4 linked regions of the Drosophila melanogaster genome follow. The gene in region 1 interacts genetically with each later gene. Each region holds a gene or a part of one and is shown on either strand. Other genes may lie near its edges. The genes, in order: dpp, mxc, rho and shn.

Region 1 (4,864 bases):
TTCTCGAAGAAGATGACCTTATACAATATATTTTCGAGAGAGAATTTATAAAATAAAAAGCAAAATTGATCAGTTCTCGATTTGACAGACAGAAGACAGAAGATCGTTGCCAAATCGTGTCGTTTCGTTTGGCCACCTTGAAGCTAAGTTCATTCATCTTCGTTTAGCATAGAAGTTTAGCAGGTGATTGAGCTGGGCTCGCTCGACTTTTAAATAAAAATGTAAACTAATATTATTAGATAGTTGACATAGTCAGAATATTGATACATATTGGAATTGTTAGCTAGCGTTTCTTGCTATGATTATGATATAATAACACATAATTATAATTTAAGTTTGCACCTATCAAATCACACTTCTTGTGCAATCCAATTGGTTTTCCAGTCAAGGTGTATCCCATAAACCATAAACCCATCGAGCAGCAGCCAGCGATATCGGATATCGTTCTCGGCTGCCTTGAGGCGCCACATCAGGCGGAAATCTGGCATCGGAATGGCCCAAACGGTAGACTGAGGTGCAAAGTCCGGGCCAAAAGCACCTGAAGCATTAGTTGCAGTTGCAGTTGCCACCTGCTGCAGCCTCTTGTTCGAACACCCTCCCCCCCCCCACAATCTTTCGTGGGGCAATTCAAGTACAAGCGAATACCAATGGAAATATTTTTGTGGCTGTGTGTTGTTTGCATGGAAACGTGATAGCAAAAGTTGTTGCTGACCGGGCCAAGTTGTTGTTGCCGCTGTTGCTGGCCGCATCTGCTTGTGGAATTTATTTATCGTTAAGAAATGCGTGTAAAATAAGTGAAACTATTGGGAGTCTCAAGCCTCCAGAGACTGACCAGTTTCTTTCGGCGGCCAACGGGGGGGATGCGGTTGCTAATGCCACCACTTTTGATAAAAATGTTGGCCTAAGCCAGTTGTTGCTGCCTGCTGATGACCAGTAGCCACTTAACTTGGCCGAGAGCGGGGCGAAGCGGGCATGGGCAGCAAATTATTGCCGCATTGCTCAGTTGTTGTTATCAGCAACGTGATTTGCCAGGCCAAGATGAAGATTGAGATGGAGATGGTGATGGGATGGCATGGAAGTGGAAGCCAACTTCAACTTGGCTGCTTCATTGCGTGCTCACGATTTTTATTTCATTTTCGTCGAATTTCCGAAAGTGGTAGACCTTCATGGTCTCATCGTCAGCTGTTGCTATATCTGTGTAGCTATATCTCATTATATTGCTGCTCTGTCTTGCTGATGTGTTGCTTCTATGTAGCTGATGCTGCTGCTGCTGCTGCGGTTGCTTAGTTTTGTTATCGGGCTTTATTTCTGTACCTTTGCACATTTCGAAGCTATCAATTTCCCACCTAACCAACGGGCTTGCTGCGCCCTGCGAATGCAAATGCAAATCGCAGTTAATAAACTAATTGAGCCTAGTGGGGTGAACTTTGACACTGATTTAGTGCCCCCAGTCGCATTAGCAAGGCAAATCGAATAAATCGATATAGATACCGATTAAGATTTAGATTCAGATTTCGATGCTGATTCCGATCCCATGTGGGATGGCTTATGCAATCGTGATCGATCAAACCAAACCAAAGCAAAGCTAAGCGAAGCAAGCCCTGCCCAGCCACGCCCAGCCAGTCACATATAATTATTCAATTAGCCAAATGGCGTCATAAATTAACGAGTATATGGCATATGGTCAAAGGGTTTTTTACCATGGCCAATGTCAGTGTCAGCCGCTAATTGTGACTGGTGTGGAATGCCGTTAATTCAGTTCATCACTTGGCCCCCATGAATATGCAAGTGACACCCGATCTCCACATGTCTCTGCTGATAATGTCCGGGGTCCAGAGATAGAATTTCACTTTTTCCCCGGATACTGGCGTAAATCTGTCGAAACTTTATGCAGTGATATCAAGTTGGCGGAAGGGACTTATCTATTGGCAAACTTATTAAAGCAAACTAGATTTCCTCATAGTAATATAGATTTTTTAGGTGTCTTCATAAATGTAAATGCATAAAAGTGAAATGGTTGCAAAGTTTATCATTAGAAATCTAAACAGTGCTAAAGTCTCTGAAGAAAATGAACATAATATACTGCAATTGCTATTGTTTCAGAAATAATCCACTGACTTCTGAGTTACATGTATTTATTTCTTTCACATTTATATACATAAGTAATCAGCCAGTCTATATGCATTGTATTCATATGTATATGTGTATGTGACTCACGCATTGCACCCAGTTCCAGTTTTCCCAGTCAGCTGTTTAACAGCCGTTCAATTGATTCGATTGATCTCGAATTGGACACGCAGCCACCATGGCGTATGCGCATTATTTGCTAACACTCTCGGCTTGGCTTACCTGGTGCACCTGCTGCACGCCGCTCAGTTACGCTCCAAAATCCACAAATCCTTTGGCTGCAACTGCAACAACAACCAATTCTGGCAGTTCGCGAACGTCGCATACATTATACACTGGTTCGACTCGGATATCCACTCAAATACTTTCGACCTATCTATCTCGCTGTGGCTTCGATTCGATTCGATTCGACTTCGACTTCGATTTTGGCTTATGGAAATCACTGGCACTTCACATGTTTGCTGCTGACGATGGTGGCCAAGCTCAGACTTTGGCTATTTTCGATTTGGATTTGGCACACAGACACATCACTCACTCACACTGGCACACTCGCAAGAATGGCGATGGTTACGAATATATTATCTGATACCGAATCGGTATCAAAAATCGGAGAGGCTTTGGCTGGCTGACGAGCGATCGCGGAAACGAGAACGAGAAACGACGGGAGATATTTTCTGTTTTTTCTGTGGTTCTTCAGGCGCGACTATCAGCGTTTAACTCGGATTTACTTTATTTTATGGCCGCAGAAACCGCGAACGATTACAGAGCAGAAAAAAAGTGATTAGAGGCTGTATATTCGGTTGTAACCAGCGATCTTTCGCCTCGATTTGGCGACACTCTGTGGACGAACGAACGCGTTTTTCGGTTCCGTACAACGAGCGTTGAGCGCAAAAAACTGAATGAGCGTCCAAAGCGGCCGAGGCAAGGCAAACAGGCAGGCAGGCAAAAGCGATCCGGAGACGGAGCAGCAAAAGCAAAAGCAGAAGCAGAGCCGAGCAGCAGCAACAGCAACATCAAAGCAAAGCACAGCACAGCAGCAACAGCAACACAAGCAGCAACAGCAACACAAGCTAGTTAGTTAGTTTTGAGCTCGTAGTAGTGAGAGTCAATCGCACACACACTGCCGACCACGATGGCAAGTTGCTTAAGTCGCTCAAAGCGCCATTTAAGTTGAGTAATTAAAACAGGCAGTATGTGTGTGTGTGTGTGTGTGTGCGAGTGCGATTAATTATTAATCAAGCCAAAAAAACAACAAGCAACCGCTAAGGCAACAATAACAAACAAGCCAGACTCACAATTACAATATTTCAGCTCTCTCAGTCGCCGTCTTCAGTCCACAGTCTCCGGTCCACAGTCTACAGTCAACACAGAGTCTTCGGTCCTCAGTCTTTAGTGTTCAGTCTTCTGTCTTCTGTCTCAGCTGCGATATCTTGACTTTCTTCAAGTCTCTCTTCGAGCCAAAGCCACAGAGCTGTTACACATTTGACTTTTCGGCGCTGCCGCAACTGGTTCGGTTTATTTTTGGCTCTAAATCTCGGACTAAGTCGCGGACTTCTCGAGACTGCAGCGCTGCTAATGCAAATCTAAATTGATTGCAAAATGCTTAGAGTCCCGAGCAGACAATCTTTCGAGTCGATCGGCGTTGCCGGATTGTTCGGCTTGTTCGAGTTATAGGAGCTAGATCGTTTTGAGATATGCCAAAGTGAGAGTTTAATGAAATCGAAGCACAAAAGTCAGGCTCTGCAGATAACACACACATGAGCTCCGTTTGACTCATCGATCTATTTAATATTTTTAAAAATTTTGTTTGTCCTTCAAAATGTTTTATTTGTTATTTAGGCCTTGATACTATGATTCCCCAAGCCTTACTCACCATATCAATCATACGCCTCGTGTGCCCATCTGGCAACGCTAGCTGCCCAAAATCCATGCAGCAAACTCAATTGATGCCGCTGATCTGGTTGTTGTTCTTGCCGCTGATGTAATTAAAATATTGCACTTGTTACTTTTACCAGCGGCTGTTCTGTCTCTTTCCCACAGCCTTTCTTCCCGTATATTGTGCTTGCCTCAGGAACACAAGTGCAACAAAACAAGCAGCCAAGGAGCAGAAAAAGCACAACAAGCACGCTGACAACATCGACTTCATCGTTCGCCGTGTGTCGTGTATTAAAACTTGTTCATTGGAATTTTCTAATAAATCAATAAACGCAGACAACACAGCGCAGTGCGGCGGGGGGCTCCAAGGGGGGATCCAACGGGGGCTCCACAGAGGGGACTTCGGGGGGCCAGCGGCATCTTGGCACACAGCTGGCGGCATCGGCGGACCGACGGACAGATTGCCGCACGCATCTCGCAGATTGCGCATTTTATAAATAGCTGCCTCATTTTTTTTCTATTTTTTAAGGTTATGGAAAATTTTAGTTGTTGTTATTATGATTTCTTGCTATTTTCCTTTCCAACTCGATCAGCCAATCGCGATTGTAGGCTATGGCCAAGCGGCAGCATTGACAACACTTTCACACAGTCGATGCACCCAGAGAAATATAGATATTCAAATCAATTACAATTCCATTATGTAATGAAAATGTTGTAAAGTAAGGAATAACATCCTTACAACATAACGAAAGATTATGGGAAACAAGTACGCACTTTGTAAAAATGCCTGCCTATTACCTGATTAGCTAAATTGCACTTCATTTCTCTGCGTGTAAAATAGTCGCTTAGCCGTCAGTATTTC
Region 2 (7,556 bases), on another chromosome or scaffold:
TTATTGCGCATACTGCTCCAACTAGTCTTGGGTAGCACCTTGAGCTCCAGGGCACTGGGCTCAATGTTTGGCTTGTCCACGATCGCCTTCTTCTTGCGCTTGCGACGGCGCTTTTTGGCAGCTTCATCGCCATCGGTTGCCTCTGTTTTGTCCTCCTGCTCGGAGGCTTCGGCTGTGCCCTCTGCATCCGTTTCACTCGCTGTTTCCCCAGCTGTAGAGGTCTCGCTAGGCTGGCCCTCCTCCAACTTAACCCGTTTCACCTCGTGTATCTCCTCGCGATCCTTGTCGGTGGCCTCCCTTTTTAGATTTCGCTTTGGCAACTCAACCTGTTCAGCCTCTGACTGCGGCTGCTCCGCTTTCTGTTGTATCTGCTGCTGCTGCTGAAAGGAGCGCACACTGGCCAGATCACTGGGATCGGTTTCTACGGACAAAACGCCCTGTATCTGGGCAAAAGCCTTCACAGCTTTCTCCAAGGACCCGCTCTTTTCGAACTCGATAAAGGCAAATTCCTTGATCTTCTTAGTGCCCGGATAGTGGGGCAGGGACACGTAGGCCACCGGTCCGTAGCGGCTGAATACCTCCTTCAGCCAATCGTGAGTGGCATTTGCAGGCAGGGCCTCTACATACAAGGTTTTGTCGTTGACATCGCGCTGATCTGGTAGCTTGGTACGTCGCTTGACCTTTAGTTCGGTCTCATCCAGCTCCAGAAGCTGGGAGTTGCTTAGTGCCTTGGCTATCTGCTGCACATCCTGGGTGAGCGTCTTTATCTTATTGAAAGTGAGAAAGATTTCCAATGGTACATCTGTAAAAGAATAACATGATCAGTGTTATGTTGGCTGGTGAGCCAACCTTAGCTACTCACATGGATCCTGCTCTACGTAGCGCCGAAGGAAGCGATCCTTGCTCAAGTTGGCGTCACCGAAGTAGAATTCCATTTGACCGCGAATCGAATTGAACAAATGCCTCTTCCTTTTGCGTCCACCATCCTTTTTATCCGGCGATGCGTCTTCCGGCGCCGGTTCTTTGGAATTTTCCTCAGCTGGTTCAGTGGGTGCGGCTGGATCGGGTTTCTCCGCTGATGTCGCGGGCTCCTGACCCTCGCCCTTCTCCTTCTCGATACTCTTGGCAGCCATTGAGTGCCAGTTAACCAGTAATCTAAGTCACTCGAATAAAATATTGCACTTGGTTTTTGCGTTCTGATCTATTTGGCAACGCCGTCTAGTTATGAATTGCTGGGATGCCAGGTATTTGCAGCATTCCCATATCGATAGTTTAACGAATATCGGATTCTAAGTACTGTAACGTACACATAAAAACGAATTGAAGCAAGACCATCAAAGCAATAAAAACTGCTATAATTTGTTTTAAGCGAAAGAGACGTATTTCTTTGCTTTAATTATTACCATTATTTCCCACGCTCCTAATAAGGCTTGGCAGCCAAGCGCAAACAACGGGACTATATCGATAGTTCGGCGCTGTGGCAACCCTACTGCGTTGTTTTGGCGGGCGGCAAAAAAAACACAGATGCTATGCTAACCTATGTGTGTTGTACAGTGCGCCGCTAGAATCGGCAACAACAAAACGAAAATAGTCGGCGAATAGGCGAGAAAATGGTTTATTCTCTCTCGAATTAAAGCGCTGATTCAATTCCGACTAACTATTGAGTGATTAAACCTGCAACAGTCAATAATAAGGCATTACAAGTGCGTTCGATAAACCTAAAGTCTTGCAAGCGAAAAAAAAAAGAAAGGCAAGGCGAAAAGCGAGTGGATGGTGACGCTTAGCTGAGTCGGAAAGTCCAGCCATGGAGTCGATTGTCCTGCATTCGGACGTGGCTCGCTTGGTCCTGGGTAGGTTTTCCCTGGACGCTTTTCTAGCTCGCAATATTTATGCTCTTCCATTTTGTAGGCTACCTAGTCAACCAGAATCTAAAAAGGGCCGCACACACTCTGTGTCGCACATCGCCTCACCTGCGCCACGAGTTCCTGGCCCTTAAACAGGGCCTGCAGACGCACAACTTCCTTCACGGGGGTCTGGAGGAGATAATCTGCGAGCATGTCAAGATCACAAGCTTGGGTAAATTAGCACGCTCCTTGCGTTTCTTTTTTTTTGCGGCTGACCGAAAATCTCTCTTTTCAGTGGCCGGTGCCGTGCAGAAGCTGCCGCTGGATATGCGTATGCAGCTGCAGCAGATGAAGCTGTCCGAACGGGTCAGCGAACTGATAGCCGCCGGCGAGAGGAGTAGCTGTACCAATGAAAGCAGCACCCCAGGCGAGCCCACCATATCACAGTCGCATCGCAAGAGAAGGCGCTTGTAATTATAGATTTTTCCTTGACACAAGCACATCGGAATTCTCATTGCTCTCTTACCCCTTTTCCCCAGGCGCACCCATTCTCCCGTGAACAGCATTTCTTCGCCTTCGTTTAGCAAGCGACCGCGTCTGCTGCCGCCACACTTCTACTGCAGCGTTAACCGCGACAAGGTCAGGCAGAGTTTCCTAGGCAGCCAGGATGACTGCGAGGCGGAACTGGACGAAGAGGATGGCGAGAGCACAACGGCCACCGAGGACTTGGAGGAGGATGACTTACTTCCGGCGAATGGTCCTGGTCCGCGCAACAATTCCACGCCGCGCCAAGGTCATACCGAGTCCAATCCACTTCTGCTCACGCCGCAAAGCATGCCTGTAAGTCCATAGACATGCTTAATGCATATCTGCTTAATTAACCAATAGTGCATCTATTATGTATTCTAAACAAAAAACACTCTTTCGATTTACATTGATTTCAGGAACTGGCCTGCGCGATAATTAAGAATCAGGACTTCCAGGAGACGCTGGTAAAGAATATTAACGTAGCGCTGCAGACGGTGACTGTTAACAATCCGTCGGTAAGCTGTGACGCCATGTTGGATGGTCTAGTGAAGAACATACTGGAGGCCACCGAGAAGGATCCCTCGTTCGATCGCATCATACAGGAGGTGGTGATCGGGGATGAACCATTGGCAAATGAGGAGGACCCTGGTGTGTCGCCTGCCTCTGATGCTGCTGGGGCTGCTATTGTTCCCGCTGCTGATGGAGATGTGCTGCCGACAGAACAGGCCGTGGATCCCGTGCCGCCGCAAACACCGCTTATTATTCGCACCGCCGTTGCAGCCACCGCAGGAACCAATGCAGATCCCAATTTCTCCATCTCCAAGCTTATCGTACTGAACTCCAACGAGAGTGTCCAAAAAATGGTTGCTGGTTTGGATACGTCCAATATCAGCTTTACAAGCGAAGGCCTCAATATAAATTTTGCCGATCCAGCGTCAATGCTCAGCGAGGTGGAGGCGACAGCTGCTGGTCAGGTTTGTGTGGACGCCACCACCGGGCAGCTGACGTTTCCCATGTACCTCTCGAACGGTGGACTGCTGTCGCATCTTCCATTCCTGGTGAACAACGAGTGGGTAGCCCAGCAACTTGGGCCGGATGCCTTTGCCAACATTGATGACTCGCACATTGAGATATCGCTGCCGGAGCCGATTACTCTGTCTGCCAATCAGCTGCCCCCCAATTCCATTATCATTAGCAGCGCCCAGAAACAACCACCTCCCCCAAGCGTGGAGCCTCCAGTCCAGTTGATAAAAGATGCAGCCAAAGTGGACAACAAGGCGGGCCAGGGAACGGCGGCAAAAGAGCAACCGATAGATCAACTAGAGGAGGAGCAGCGAAAGTTTCCACCCGCATCCCTGGATTCATCTAGACAAGTCATGGAGAGAGTGACACCCTCGACGTCGGGAATAATTAACGTAAAGGCCTTTCGTAGCTTATCCACTCCCCGAAAGAGAACTTCGCATGTACGAACATTAACTTTTTCCCCTAAGGTTCCTCCTGGTGGCGTCCTGCATTCCAATACGCCGCTGTCCACTAGGCGACCTGGTTTGCTGGCCAAAGCCCAAGAGAAGCCAATTATCAACCATGTGGAGATCATCCAGGCCGCCTGCGACCTGAGCTCAAACGAGGGCCTTGGAGGAGTGCCACCACTCTTCGCCATGGAGGAGTGCAGCAATCAGACGGTGATCAGGGCCCATCCTCCAGCTGCCGCTCCGTCAGCAGCTCCGGTTCCTCCGTTGGTGGCCACGCCCAAAAGAAAACAGAAGCGACAAGCAGCGGTCAAGGCCTGCAAGCGAATCATCTCCCAGGCGGAATCGGAAACCAAGACGGATAAGGATCAAAAGAAAATTATGCCCAAAAATAACTCTGCCTGCAGCGCATCGTCGACCGCTCACGATGACAGCGCCGAGGCCAGCAAAGAGAATCTCCAGGAGCAGCAGAAGATTGAAGGAAAGCCAGATGTAGGCTCCGCCGCCAGAGGAGACGCAGTTGTAGATAACGATATGGCCGCCTGGCAGCGCCAGTTGCATGGCTCCAATTCTGACCTTGAAAATCGGCTGCGTGAGATTAACTCCAAGCGCGAGGAGGTAAAGGCCTCCGGCCGCTCGAGGCGTCCAAAGAAGAAAGATACACCCACTTCAGCTTCGTCGAGAGCACGAAAGGCTCCAATGGTCAAAGCGAAGGCGGAGCCCATGAATCTGGCAAAGAAACCGCAGCGCAGTGTTGGGGATTCCACTGAGAAGATCAACATCAAGATTATCACTCCTCAGAAACCAAAGCTCCTGAAGAAAAAGAAGGTGTTTGAGGCAAAAGAAGAAATCATAGACGAAACCATAGAAGAAACCATAGACGAAACCCAAGCGGAGATCGAGGAAAAGGATCAGAAGAAGAAAAGTGAACAAGGATGCATATATGCAAAGGATCAGGAGCAAGCGAAGGCCTTAGCGGCAGAACTGTCGCGACCCAACATGGCCATGCTTCTGGACACTCCGTTTAAAGCATCTCCCATTGGAGCAGGAGCAAGCGGAGCCGTAGAAGATGACACCACATCAAAGGAAGCTGGTGTTGGTGTAGCCGCTATCATCCCACCCACGCCAGGAATGGCCATTCCACCTCTGGACACGCCATATGGCAAGTTGCCCAGTAGCAGCTTTCTCTTTGGTTCGGATACCAAAAGTATTATGGATACGCCCCAGTTGAGTGCCATCACACCTGGATTTCGCTTGACACCTTTTGGACAGATGCCCGGTACTCCGATAGGCAGTGCTGCCAAGACTGAGTACTCTTCAGGCAGTTCCTATTATCGTCCGGATGAAGCGGAACACACCGATGCGAATGCGCAGTGCGCAATACAACAGTGGGGTGATCCGCAGGATAAGAAACAACCCAAGGTTCGGTCAACGCCCAAGAAGAAAAAGGTTGAGGCAGAGGATGAGCTTTCGCAACAGAAGAATCAAGAGCTAATAGAAATGGAGTGTTCAAAGAAAAGCCTTCATCCGGAGGACAAACATGCTGAGGACAATAAGAAAACACCGAAAAGACCAGAGAAGCCAATGGATGAACATCTGAAGGAAACTGAAAACGATGGTGAAAAGAATGAAACGGTTTTAGAAAAGACACCAGATGCTGTGAAGCAACCCGTTGTCCTGTCCTTGGAGCCCACCGTCCTTCGACGCGTTCGATCCTTTGGCAGTGAGGCGGTGGACAGTGCGGAGTCCGCTACAGCTGGCTCATTTCCCTCCGATCAGCAGCAGCTTCCGCACTATAAACTTTTGCCTGGCCTGCCCGAGGCAATTATTGAAGGATCTAGTAATTCTAGCTCCTCGGCAACCAGTTCATCGTCCTCATCCAGTTCGAGCTCAAGCTCCTCCAGTAGTTCATCATCGAGTTCCTCATCCTCGTCAAGTTCTCACAGCGGAAAGGGGGAAAGCAGAGGGGAAGAGGCAAATGGCGAGAATGCCGACGAAAAGTGCAGCAAGAAAAAGGAGATGCTACTAAACATAGATAACTTATCGAACATTAGCAGCACGGAAGACGAAGAGTGGCTGAAGGCAGCCGGTTCTGAGGATGCAGTTCTGCCCATGCTTGCTATCGACAGTCAGCCAGGTCAGTTAGTTAGCCAGGACGGGGAGGTCCGCTATCCTATCCGGAATTGGCTGACACCAAGCAAAGAGCAGGCCCAGGAGACGGATACCAGTGGAGAACAGCAAACAAAACCTACACCTCCTAAACCGGTGGCTGCTCCTGTTCCGCCTCCGCCGCTTCCTCTAACACCGCCAGCTGCTCCTCCGCCGCCTCCACCGCCTCCGCCAGAGGCGGACGATCCTTCATCCGTCGCTCTTCCAACGGCCTCTACAAGCCGTCAGGAACACCAACGCCAGCAGCTGAATGAAAAACGCCAACGTGTAGTGGCCAAGTTTAAGGAGCAACCCCAACCGATCAAAGGTCAAGGGAGAAAGACTGCCAACAAGAAGCTCACTGCAATGCGTGAAAATGCCAAACTGGCCAATCCAAGCAGTCAAAAATCGCCAAAAAATCGAAAGCACATCGAACCACTGAAAACAAAAGCAGCTAAAAAGCAAATAGAACCAAATCCGAATGTTAAGTCCACAGAGGCTACTGGTCCGCCAGTCGGTGCCGCCACAGATGCGCCAGCAGATCCGCCAGCCGGCAAATTGGATCCCGCTCTGCTCATGGCCCTCAATCTATCTGCGAAAAAACAGGAATCATTACCGATTGTAATCAAACCAAAGGTAAATCGAGCAGCGGTTGAAATTGCGGCACAGCCTGCCCCTGGAAAACGTGGACGCCCGAAAAAGGTACAGAACGGGGAGCCAGCCAATCTCTGTATGCGACGATCCTCGCGCCTAGTCGAAAATAAAAGTAAGTAGTTAAGATCCAATCGAATGGGTATTGAAACTAATATATTGTCTTTGCAAAACTAGCTCCTGCTCCGGAAGATCTCTCCAAATCCACTGAAGGAGCAAAGACGAAGACCCAAATCAAGGCAAATACCAAGAAACCGGCCAAGAAACGTGTCGAGGCAAGGGTACCCTCCTCCACAACCGATGCTCCGGCACTGCCCATTGTAGCGGAGGCGGAATCCACCCAAAAATCTCCAAAGCAAAAGCCGCAAATTCAGCAAACAATACAAGAACCTAAACAGGATCCACCGCCATCGAAATGCGATTCGGAGCCCGATGACAGCGACTTCGAGCAGGACATGTGCCTGAGCAGCAGCCAGGAGCGTTTTACCTATAATTTCACATATGCGGACAACGGACCAAAGTCCAGCAATCCGATGATACGTCAGCCATCGAGCTATTTCAAAAGCTATCAGATGCGCTTGATGACCGATGACGAACAGCTGCATACGCTGCGCATAGCCAGTGCCCAGGTGCTCTGTCTGGGCCAACCGGTGGCCAGCGCCATTCGCAATATACCCAAGAAGCGGATACGCCGCCTGACCGGCAATAGTGGCGGGACAGCGGCAACAGGGGGAAGTGCAAGTGTAAGTGGAGGAAGTGGAACGGGAGCGGAAGTTGCTGCTGCTGGCGAACAGCCTTCGGCCACGTCTACGCCGCTGGTGGAGAAGCCCCCATCCAGGAGTGGGCCGCAAGATGAGGAAGATCTGGAGGTGGCCACCATGTAAGTGGTGAACATATGCATTTTATTTTTTGTATG
Region 3 (7,523 bases), on another chromosome or scaffold:
CGGAAAAAGGACACCTTGCTGTGCGGCGGGAAGCGCAAGTGGCGGGCGGAATTTCCTGATTCGCGATGCCATGAGGCACTCGCATATGTTGAGCACATGTTTTGGGGGAAATTCCCGGGCGACGGGCCAGGAATCAACGTCCTGTCCTGCGTGGGAAAAGCCCACGTCCTACCCACGCCCACTCGGTTACCTGAATTCGAGCTCGAGTGTTTTGGGTGGCTGAGATTGCTTTGGTACGGTGGCTGACCTTGCCAGTGCCAGTGGGTCCATGTCCGTGGAGTGCTGGCAATGCGTGTCTGGCACAATGAAAACGCAGCAATGGAGGATGGAGGAACTCGACCTGAGGGAACGTGGGAAAAAAGGATTTACGATGAAGATGAGCTGAGAAACTCCGAGCTGATGACGTGCCTGGTCATGGGCATGTAGTGCAGCAACTGTGTTTTCGTATCTGCTTACCTGTTGCACGCACATGTTAAAAAGTCATCATAAATCTCAGTGGACGAGGACGAGGACTCTGAATCTGTTTCGCCTCTCTTTTGCGCCCAGTGAAAATATTTTCACTTTTCATGCGGGAGTTTTCATGCCGCCGATGAGGATGACTGGCCAGGATGGGTATATCTATCTATTAGATCTGTGTAAATTCCCAGCTTATCATGCAAAACACGTAACCACGTCGTCTCGATCCTTTCGGCCAGGAAGCCGAAAGCTACTCCTTTTGTGCAACATGCCGTGGTGACCTTTCCCGCGAACTCGTGACTGCAACGGCTCAGGCTGCCTAATAATTTGTATAAATATTTATTTTTGCTACCGATTTCTATCTGCTCGCTCAACGCCTCCGAGGGAGCTCTCGCTGGAAAAGGTGTGAAATTCGAAACCCCTGACAATGATGATCTTCTACGGGGAATCGGGGAATCAAGGGGAATCAGGACGGGGCTCGGTTTCGAATTCGATTCCATGACATGTTCTGCATTGCTGAGCCGATATACTTTATTTGCATTTTTGGCCACTTGCAGTGGCACGTTCCCTTAAAAACAACAGAATTATAGAAGCAATGTTTTAGCTATTGAACGGTTACGTATCAATAGAGGAATTTTAAAACTATTTCTAAGCAAGCAAATAGTTTTGCTAGTTTTTTTAGTTTAGAAACTAATTTACATTACCATTGTGAGCAATTGTGACATTGAAGTTATTTCTGGAAACTATTCGAAAGTGCGGAGCTAAAGAAAAAGCGACTGCTACTACCGATTTCATCATCTTTAATTGTGTTAACAATTTGTTTGACTTTCTTGTCTTTGTTTAAAGGCATCGACGGGAAACTCAGCAAAACAATGGACTTGGTACCTTTACAAATACAACTAAAATGAGCTTAAACCTCTTCTAGTACGTTAATATATATTACTAGTAATAATATAAAATGAGATAAAAGTCGGTTTTGCTGAAAGGCAATTAAACGCAAAGGCCTTGCTAGAATTTCGCAACATTGCAGAGATTAGAGCTCAGATCTGCGTAGTAGGCCATGACAAAGCGCAGATCGCTGGAGATCGGCGAGAAGACAGAAGACAGAAGACGACGCATTTGTTAGTCAGTGGCATTGGCAAGAAGTGCTGGCCCGTCTGGATGAGTCATTCACCGTTATGTGGCAAGGCGGCAGATGGGGGAAACCAGTGAATAACCAGCGACGAAAAACCTTCGAACCGCTCGCCTCGAGCTGCAGCAGTCGAGTGACTGCAGTGCGCACACCCCACCCACCCACACAAGACAAGATCCGGATGTGCCATGCAACACTTATACGGCCGAACCAAAACACAACATGTTCGAAGTGGCTCTCTTATACTGCACCGCACAGCGAGCACTTATAAAGGCCGGCTGCCTTGCCTTTCGAAAGTCAGTTGCGTGCGAGCCGCGAGCGCGAGATCATCAAACTGAGAAAGTCGGACTGCGACTCGAAACTGAAATTGAAACTGAAAGAAAGAAATATTCAAATTGTCGTGTGTGTGGGTGCAAGCAGAGAATATATATCTCAAGAATATCTGAATACAAGCTCCTGGATTTACGAGCAGCAAAACTAAGTTACCAATGTGCGAGCCGAAAAAAGCGAGTGAAAAACGTGCGAATATGCCAGCTAACTAAAGACATTTGGATTACAAGAAACCCACGCATTTTGGATTATAAACATTGCGACAGGCAGAAAAACCTAAGGTAAGCCCCCGACCCTAATGAGAAAATGCGCGAGAGCTAAAAGATACAAGATACAAAATATGAGTTGCGAGATACAAGCTACAAGCCACAAGGGATATGCAAGAAATGTGCAAATTGCAATAGAAATTGTCACAGCGGCAAAACAAAAGCATTTCAACTTAGAGGCGTAATGAGTTTGTTCAACCTGTGTGCCCGCTCGCTCTATCTCTCTCGCTCGCACCCTTTGCCCGTTTTTTTTTTTAGGGGTGCGAGTGCAGCAGAAAGCATAAAAAATGCAAATTACACCGCGGGCCATGTGAAACTATGTTTCTGACCAAACAGACAAAAAAAAAAAATGAGAAGAAAGAAATGATGAAAAGAAGGCCGAATGAATTAATTCATTATGTCTTAAAGCCCGCTTTCGACATCTCTTCTTCATGCTCGCATGGACATTCGGTGCAGTCTGCAATTAAAGTTAATAAATAAATTAATTAATAAGCGGCCGACTGCGATTTCGTGCCTTATTGAAATTGCTAGGCAACCGAAATGAAGAACATGAAAAGAGCGCCAGCCAAGGCACGGCACCCACTCACTTTTTCGAGCAGTGTAGGTAGCAGACACAAAAGCAACAACGGTGCGTGTGTGCAATGCGACTTGAGGCGAAAGAGAGAGAGGGGGCATATGCGAACACAATGAGTGTGAGTGGGAGAAACGCGTTTTTTTAAGTTTATTTTTTTTTTTTTTGTTGAGCAAGGCAATGAATTTGTTATTTTTTTTCCTTGTTGCGACGAACAGTTGTTTGGGGAATTTAAGAAGATTTGTGCTGTGACTGTAATTGAATCGAATGCGATTAACATAATTTGTGAGGAAATGTCTCTGGGCAATGAATTACAATAATGCCTGGCCATTAGCTGATTAGTTGGCCATTAGCGAAGATGATTTCAGGGCTGAAAGTGCAGTTTATGTAACGGCGTAGATGCTACACAAGCTACATCTTCAATTTTGTCCAGCTAATTTCGGGCCACAAAAGCAAACTTGGCCCATCAAATTTTATGGTTAGCTCACACAAGCTGACCCAGTTTTCCCTTCGGGGAAAAGCAGCCAGGAAGTTGCAGGCATCGGAATCCGTGTCCCAGGCCATAAACAAAATTCTTACCCACAAAGAAGCAGGCTTTTCCTTCGCTTTTCTTTTATTTCTGCTGCATTTCCCCACACACTCTGGTTTTTCTGAAGTGTTGTAATTGCTCTTGTTTTGTGCTGCGTTTTATGAATAACTTATGCACTTAATTGATTTTTGTTTATTGTTCGGTTCAAGTTAATTAATTACACACTTTATGCGCTCCTCTCTTTCTCCAGAATTTCTTCAACGGCGCCAGCATGGAGAACTTAACGCAGAATGTAAACGAAACCAAGGTGGATTTGGGCCAGGAGAAGGAGAAGGAGGCGTCGCAGGAGGAGGAGCATGCCACCGCCGCCAAGGAGACCATCATTGACATTCCCGCCGCGTGCTCCAGTTCCTCCAACTCCTCGTCGTACGACACCGATTGCAGCACGGCGAGCAGCACCTGCTGCACCCGCCAAGGCGAGCACATCTACATGCAACGCGAGGCCATCCCGGCCACGCCACTTCCGGAGTCGGAGGATATCGGCCTGCTGAAGTACGTCCACCGCCAGCACTGGCCCTGGTTCATCCTAGTGATCTCCATCATTGAGGTAAGCACACACACAGCGAACTCAGTAACTCAACCCATTAAATCAAAGAAGCCGCAAACTTTCATCCCAAGAGCGATAAAAATGATATAGGGGGCGGAAAGCGGCGACGAAGGGCGGAAGTTTTCCGAGAGTTTTCCTCGCTTTTCGTGTTTCGTTTTCTGCGTCTGACTCGCTGGCGCCCCCGAAAATCGATTGTAAACAAGTTGAACAACAAAACAGCCGAAGGAAAAAAAGCGAACAGAAAAGTTTATGAAACCAGACCGTTCGTAGTTTTTTCTTTTTTTTATTTTTTAAGGGCAGACCAAAAATTGTCATGTGAAAAACAGTGGAAGATGAGAAGATGGAAATGATAGTTAGTTTGATAGCGAAATTGGTAACTTGGAACATTGAGTTTAAAATAAACAATACACTTTTACATGACCCCTTACATTCGTATTGGAAATAATTTGCTTCGTATAGAAACTAGCACGAATATCAAATAAACAGGGCGGCCCACGGGGCGTATGAGTTTAGTGAGTTTGAAGCCCTGCCAAGTTGGCAGGACTCGCCCCTAAGCATTCTCATAAGACTTTATTTGGAACGTGGTCGCGTGCCAGACAGCAACAACATAAATCAGAGCGAGAGCCCAGAACTAACCCCCAATTCTTTGCGTCTCTGTCCATTTTAGATTGCCATCTTCGCCTACGACCGCTACACAATGCCCGCCCAGAATTTCGGGCTACCCGTTCCGATTCCGTCGGATTCGGTGCTGGTCTATCGGCCGGACCGGCGTCTGCAGGTGTGGCGCTTCTTTAGCTACATGTTCCTGCACGCCAACTGGTTCCACCTGGGCTTCAATATCGTCATCCAGCTGTTTTTTGGCATTCCCCTGGAGGTGATGCACGGCACGGCCAGGATCGGCGTGATCTACATGGCGGGCGTTTTTGCCGGATCCCTGGGCACCAGTGTCGTCGACTCGGAGGTCTTCCTGGTGGGCGCCAGCGGTGGCGTCTATGCCCTGTTGGCCGCACATCTGGCCAACATTACACTGAACTATGCGCACATGAAGAGCGCATCCACGCAACTCGGATCCGTTGTCATCTTTGGTGAGTTTCCCCACACCTTATGACTAGAATCTATAGAACCTAATCTATCCTACCTAAACACGAATTTGTCACATCTTTTTCTTCTATGTTTAACTTAACTAACTTGAATCCCTTCTGTTCTTCCATTTGCAGTCTCCTGCGATCTGGGCTATGCTCTCTACACCCAATACTTCGATGGAAGCGCCTTCGCCAAGGGTCCCCAGGTGTCGTACATTGCCCACCTGACGGGAGCCCTGGCAGGACTAACGATCGGCTTTCTGGTGCTAAAGAACTTCGGTCACCGAGAGTACGAGCAGCTCATCTGGTGGCTAGCGTTGGGCGTCTACTGTGCCTTCACCGTCTTCGCCATCGTTTTCAACCTGATCAACACGGTGACCGCTCAGCTGATGGAGGAGCAGGGTGAGGTGATTACCCAGCATCTGTTGCACGACCTGGGAGTGTCCTAAGTTTGAGGTTCGGAGTCGTCAGCATGCTCGCAGGGATTCGGAATCTGCTTGAGCTTCAGGAGAGATCGAGAGACAGAGAGTTGGTGGAAAAGAAAAGTTCACTCAACGATTTAGTTCAAAACTAATTCGATATTCGTTTGGCTTTTGCTTTTCGTTAGCATTATCTCGTTATCGTTACCGTTTGCAGTTAAACGTTTCAGTTCCGAAACATAGTACACAAACTCAAAAAAAAAAAAAACAAATCAAGAGAAATACACTGGACAAAAAGAAAGTGCGAGGAGTGAGGAGAACATAAACCGAAGCCGAAACGTGTAAACAAATGTTGTGATAGAACCAAAGACTGAATTTATTTCGCGTGTAAAAACCAAGTAAAAATCAAGAGGAAAATCAAAGAGGAGAAACAGAACTAATCGCCTCTCGCTATGATTTAAATGATTTATCCATGTTTTCAATTAATGGTTTGTCTGTTTTCTTAAATTATGTATTTATTGGCCGCAATTACTACGAATGAATCGAATCGAAGCATCAGCAAACTGTATCAAATTGTTTATACATCCATAAGCATAATGTGCTCCGAATTGTAGGATTTAGTGTTATAATTTATATATATTTAGGTATAACTAGCCCTCCTAACAAATTGTTTCAAATTGTAAATACTATTAAGTCGCACACTAGTCAAACAACAACAACAGCAACAGCAAAAACAACAAAAAAAATATGGAAAACCACAGCAAAGAACCATTCAATTCAGATCAATTAAGCAAATCGAGTTAAATTAAATTAAATTATACTAAAGTCACTTAATGCGTTACAAAATCGAGCATCGTAATCCCCTACACACACACACACACACACACACTCGAAAGTATTACTAATTATATTTATTTATGGTAGGGCAGCGAGGGTTTATTAATTCGTCAATTGAGCGAACTATTTATTTATTTATTTATTTAATAATTTAGTGAAATTCACACAAACAAGCACGAAAAAACAACAACAACACAAGAGAGAGAAGAAACAAACCAATTCAACTGTAAAAATATCCAATTGAAAAATACACACGAAAAGCCAAAGAAAATAAAAAATCAAAACATTTCAAGAATACAACAGTAATAACAAAATACAAGCAAAAGCGTTTTCATTTCCCATTTTGTATTTTTATTTTACTTTCAGTTTTTGGCTGTCGGCTCGCTTGGTTTTAATTCCCACAATTTAAGGGCAATAAATAATCGAGCCAGCAGATTATCAAGATACTTGACATATTGACCGATACACATATATATATACATATATATATATATATATCGTACGCAAATAGAGAAATATTCAAAGTAATCGCCGAATGAAAACAGCTAATCTGGCATAAAGGCCAGCAAAGCGTAAGCCAAAATAGAATCCTTTTGGGCCACAAAACCCCAAGATAGCATACTCGATTTTCCAAAATAATGGATCCACACTCCACCCGATGAAAAAAAAAAAACAAAACAAAAAAATAAAATAAAACAAACTAGGAAACGGAAATGTTCAGCACGAGACAAGGGACAGAAGAAATGCAAATAGCAAAAAATTATAGATAAATAAATAAGGAGAGAAAAATTGAACAAAAATAAATGTCTAAATTATATATGAATTTCTCGTTTTCTTCACAAATAACTCAGGGCGAGTTGAGCTTGTGTATGTATGTATCCTCTGCTGGATGAGTTTTTTGGGGGGCAGCCCAATCAATATTTGCTCCACATAAATATGGCAATTCAAAGCGAAAGGTTGCAACTACAACTAAGACTCGAAGAAAATCCTTAATTAATACCCACTCCGCAGAAGACTTGTGTCAACGAATTTTCCCACTCGAATGTTGCCACTGCCACCAATCGATAGTTGCCCCAATATGAAATATGAAGGCGCAGCATACGCATTTTGTAATAATTCATATTGTCTGTGATTCCACATCTCATGCGAGTATTATATTCAATCCAACTGGATTAGCAGGACTAAGTCCATGAATTTCCAAATCGGCATTCAACTCGAAGGACTTGAAGCGAACCAAAAACATTTGCCAGCTGTTTGCGTTTAGTCGACTAATGCATACCTATTAGCAATAAGC
Region 4 (4,548 bases), on another chromosome or scaffold:
TTCCAGCTTCCAGTTTCGAACTGCTTTCGCACTGGAACTGGAAGGCCTTCTAGCCGGGCGAACATACACACGCACACGAACAATTTCCAATTGGGCGCCTGCGCCAATTGTAAACAAAGAACAGCTGTTCGAACATAGTACATATATTCGTTTTCATTGACGATGGAGCATAGTATAACACAGGGGGGGGGGGGTGCAGGGGGGTTAACTCTGAACATAAGGATGAGTGATGTGATTAGGGTGGTCACGCGTGCGGCTCTAATAAATATCAATGATTTGTGAAAATTCTTAAAAGAAACAAACCACATTTATTGAAAGTCGTTTAGGCCAAACATCGTATATCTTCCCATATGAATTTAAATTGAAGGGCGGCCGTTGGCGTTTTGGGGCTGGCAAATGAGGCTCAAGGCCACGCCTTTTACTTGTCACTTTGGCTGGGAATTCTCACAGCTGTCAGCCAAAATCCCATCCACTTGACATCGCCATCGCCAATGTTCTGCGATATGTTCTTCTTTTCTTCACATATGTACATATTTTCGCCAGCACTTAATTTCCTTTGAAGCCGCATTATTTCAGCCTTTCGACACCAGGCGTTACGAGGCGTTGCGGCTCGAACAGCTTTCGACTGGGCCCAAAGTGTCTGCCTTAAATGAATCGGAAACATTAATGGCTGTATCAAAGAATAGGACGCCTTCATTTAAACGTCTTCATTTAATTCATCGAATTTGCTATTTTTATGCATATGAATATTAAATTAAGTCGAAACATTACTATCATTGGAATGGATACGATTCTATGTGCAGTAATTAAAATGTGTTTCAACAGAGTACATATCTTAGAATCAAACTTCATCTATAATTTAGAATAATTTTTAAACCATGAATTAAATGTTTATCTTCGTTATTTTCGCTGCGAGTTGCAGCAGCTAGTTTATAAGGTTTGTGTGTTCGTCCCACCAAGTTTATGATTATTAAAATATATTATAATGACATGTTTATATTTTTAGCAACTCCTTATAATTAATTTATCAAATCGCCTAAATCAATGCTTTTCCACTGAAGCACCATGTTGTTTTTTGATATTGCATACATTTAGGCTTAGAAAAGTATTACCTTTTTATCAATTGTGTGGATAATCTTAAAAATGTAAATTAGCAAACTGATAAAACAGACAACCCAGGTATTATCACAGCGCAGGTAAGCCAAGTAAATAACGCTTATCATCTGGAGCTCCTGCTATTGGCATTTAAGCTTTGGACACACACACACACACACAATACTGATAAGGCGACTCTCTTAGCGAACTCTCTTCGCTGCTCTGTGAGTGGGAAAAGAAAAAAGGTAAACAGACAAGTTGAAAGGCGATTTTCGATTGAAACGAAACGGCTGGTCGAATTGAAAGCCACTTACGTCGCTCTTTGGCTCTCTCATTTGTGCGCCAAAAGAGAGCTCACTTTGGGTGTGCTCTTGGCGTTCGGGCTTTTGGCTTTGGCTTTGGCTTTTGGGGGCCTAACGGATTCTCGCTGGCTCTGTTTGTCCGTGAACGCCGACGTCGACGCACGCCTCTCGTTTTCGCGCGCTTCTCGCACTTCTCGGTAAATGCGCAAAAAAGCCAGCAACGAAATCAAATCAAGTCAAATCGCAACGCATGGTGAATAACATGTCCGTTTTATTAATAGATTCCGCAACAGCCATATAGCGCATATTTCGAAAGAGATATATAATATATATGAAATAAAGTGAGGCCCTCGGATGAAACAGTGTTGATAAGGAGTGTACATACATACACACACGCAGCACATAAAACTGAAAGAATTCGCGGCGCGCGCGATTTAGTTGCGAATATTGCGTATACGCAGGGTCTGTCAAAAGTAATACAAATCAAACAAAACCTACCACAACAAAAATAAGGAACGGCATATCAAACCGAACATTTCCGAATTGAGGTTTTTTTTACACAGCGAGCAGAGGATACGCCTACATGGATTTATATAGCACAATTACAGCAACCAAGGATACTGAGACTTGGGCAGGATAGCAGCGATGCCAGCCAGCGGGTTGCAATCTCCACCAGGTCGACAGGCAAGCGGCATATCAGGATAATACCAGGGACTTGGACATCATGGCTCCTCTATTTGTCTAGTTGGCAAATACCAGCGAACCGGGAACCAGGCCACACACACACACACCCATACACTCGCTTACACACACAAACACACACACACGCGCGCGCTCATACGCTCAGACAAACAAGGACGCTTGTCATTGTGTGCGTCAAGGACGTCGACACACGTACAAGCTTTGTTGCTGTTGTGCCATACAAACAGACCAGAACCAGTGTCGCAAGTGGGCGTGCCAGCGGGTAGGCGGCCTCTGATTAAATATACATCAGTCAAGCGCAAGGATCCTAATTTCCAGCAGTATTGTTCTGTGCAAAAGGACAACGGGACAGCGGACAGCGGACAGCGCCAAAACGGGACACCAACTTTGAAGCAGGGAAAATGGCGCGACGCAAGGGCAGCGGTCGAGGCAGTAAGTACATTTTCCTGTTAATTATTCAAATCAAGCGTGAGTTCGAAAATATGCCAGCGAAATTCCGGGAAATTGCCTCTTCTCAAGGATTTTAAGCTATTTTGCAAACGTTTCCATAAAGTGTTTACAAGGAAAAGGGACCCAATATCCACAATTTCTATGCTGACTTTTCTTTGGAATCTTTATATTTAGTGGTTCTATTATAAGATCGAACTTTGACTGCTTTGTTCTTGATAACAAATTCACTCCAAGTAGTTTGTTGATTATTAAAAGAACTCCAGCGGTCTTAAAAAAATTGGGCTTCAGCTCAAGGACGACGAGTTTCACAGCTGCCATATGGCAAGACAGTAAGTCCTTGCTTCAGAGCTTCAAAGAATCTCGTCAAGTGCAGTGATTTTTTCTTGGCGGCTCAAAGGGAAAAATATGTAATTAAGAATGTATGTAGTATTCAGCCACGCCCCCACTCGAAACCTCTGGCTGTATCTATAAGATATATATTTTTTTGCATTATTATTTGTGTGCCATGAGTGCTCCACTCGCAAGAGAGAGAGAGAGAGAGAGGGACGGGGCGAGAGCAAAGAGAGGGAGGGCATGCATAAAACATGAAACAACAGCGTCAGTAGTCACTTTTCATTGCATTGCGCCCACGCCCAACCACCCACAGTCCCCTTATCATTTTAATTCAGTTGCGTTGGCGCGCGCGCTGCAAAATGTTGGGGATTCCCTTACGTAATCCCCCAGCGCACACAAAAGGCAAACAAACAAACAGGCACACAAACAAACGCACACTCACAGGGCAGCGGCAAACAAAACAAAAACACAAACGAAATGGGCAAAAGAAAGGGGGAAAAACAGAGAGCTGAAATAAAGGAAAACAGAAAGCGGGTGAAAAGCAGAGAAGCTGAAAAACAGAAGAAAAAAAAAACGTAAAAACAGACGCAAACAAGGCAGCTTGTTTGCCAGCCAGTCGCAATCGGAATTGCCCCATGTAAAATGGTCTGAAAATCAAGCTCAGCCAGCGTCATGAACTTTTGGCGCAGCTCACCCGCTCAACAGGCAGCCTAGCTCACAGATACGCAGATACAAAGATACAGATACAAAAGGCGCACAGTCACAGATACTCGACTTGCACATCCACAATCGCTATAGCCGAGATACTTTGCGTCACGTCACGCCGCCTGTTAGTCAAGTTGCTCTGTGCGCTGCGTTACTCATGCCACAATTTGAACCTATTAAAAAGCCAGATACTTTCTTGTGCCCGCCCCAACCCGCGACATCCGCAGATACTTTTGCCAAATGAGATACAAGTGTGCTGCCTGGCTTTTGATATATGCCAAGTACTGCTCGCTGGGCGGATACAGTGCGCATTCCATCAGCTGCAGCTAAATGCTTTAAATGAATTTACTTTTCATTTCAAAACCAAACCGACTAGGCAACCAGTAATTGAATATATTCAATCCGATCAATCACTTTTTTTTTATTGAACTTGATTTAATTAATATGTCACAACGTGAGCGTTTTATTTCGCCTTTTGAAACAATAAACCAGTAATTAAATATAACATTCTTAAATAAATATATTAAAACTATTTTATAGCATTTTAAACCAATTATGCTGAAATGTTATAAATATTTATATTCGAAATATTATTGTTTTAATAACAATAATAACAACTTAACTTTTTAAACAATGTTGTTGAGACTTTAACTCAACCATTTTGTTTTGTAAACCATGACCAATTGAAAATACTTGGCAACTTGGAGAGAGATTATTTGAAATACTTCTTAAATATATTTCAAAATCATCAAACCTTTAACATGAAAGTCGTCCTTCCATGGAGTACCCACTGTAGCAGGCGCAACATGCTCAAAGAGTTTGGCTCCAACTTGACTTCCAGCTGCCGATGGGTTTTGGTTTTGGTATGCAGACGACTTTGGGTATGGGTTTGAGTATGGTTGGGGGAATGGGAATAGGAATGGGTATGGGTTTGGGTTTTGAGTTTGAGTTTGATCTTTGA

The links.
Region 2: of dpp (region 1) and mxc, changing one enhances a phenotype caused by changing the other (phenotypic enhancement), as found in Drosophila melanogaster (one study listed by BioGRID).
Region 3: of dpp (region 1) and rho, changing one suppresses a phenotype caused by changing the other (phenotypic suppression), as found in Drosophila melanogaster (2 studies listed by BioGRID).
Region 4: of dpp (region 1) and shn, changing one suppresses a phenotype caused by changing the other (phenotypic suppression), as found in Drosophila melanogaster (2 studies listed by BioGRID).

What each region holds. Positions count from the first base shown.
Region 1 is NT_033779.5:2,426,536-2,431,399, reverse strand, and holds the start of dpp (decapentaplegic), read right to left. Parts: upstream 3,029-4,864; 5' UTR 2,350-3,028; intron 1-2,349. UniProt on the Drosophila melanogaster protein: Required during oogenesis for eggshell patterning and dorsal/ventral patterning of the embryo.
Region 2 is NC_004354.4:9,237,453-9,245,008, reverse strand, and holds the start of mxc (multi sex combs), read left to right. Parts: upstream 1-1,541; 5' UTR 1,542-1,804; coding exon 1,805-1,850; intron 1,851-1,908; coding exon 1,909-2,076; intron 2,077-2,139; coding exon 2,140-2,314; intron 2,315-2,383; coding exon 2,384-2,684; intron 2,685-2,788; coding exon 2,789-6,755; intron 6,756-6,817; coding exon 6,818-7,520; intron 7,521-7,556. Other genes in the region: Larp7 (La related protein 7), read right to left, coding at 1-802, 863-1,133.
Region 3 is NT_037436.4:1,461,932-1,469,454, forward strand, and holds rho (rhomboid), read left to right. Parts: upstream 1-1,879; 5' UTR 1,880-2,199; intron 2,200-3,534; 5' UTR 3,535-3,555; coding exon 3,556-3,891; intron 3,892-4,558; coding exon 4,559-4,976; intron 4,977-5,108; coding exon 5,109-5,422; 3' UTR 5,423-7,013; downstream 7,014-7,523.
Region 4 is NT_033778.4:11,172,275-11,176,822, forward strand, and holds the start of shn (schnurri), read left to right. Parts: upstream 1-1,528; 5' UTR 1,529-2,500; coding exon 2,501-2,531; intron 2,532-4,548.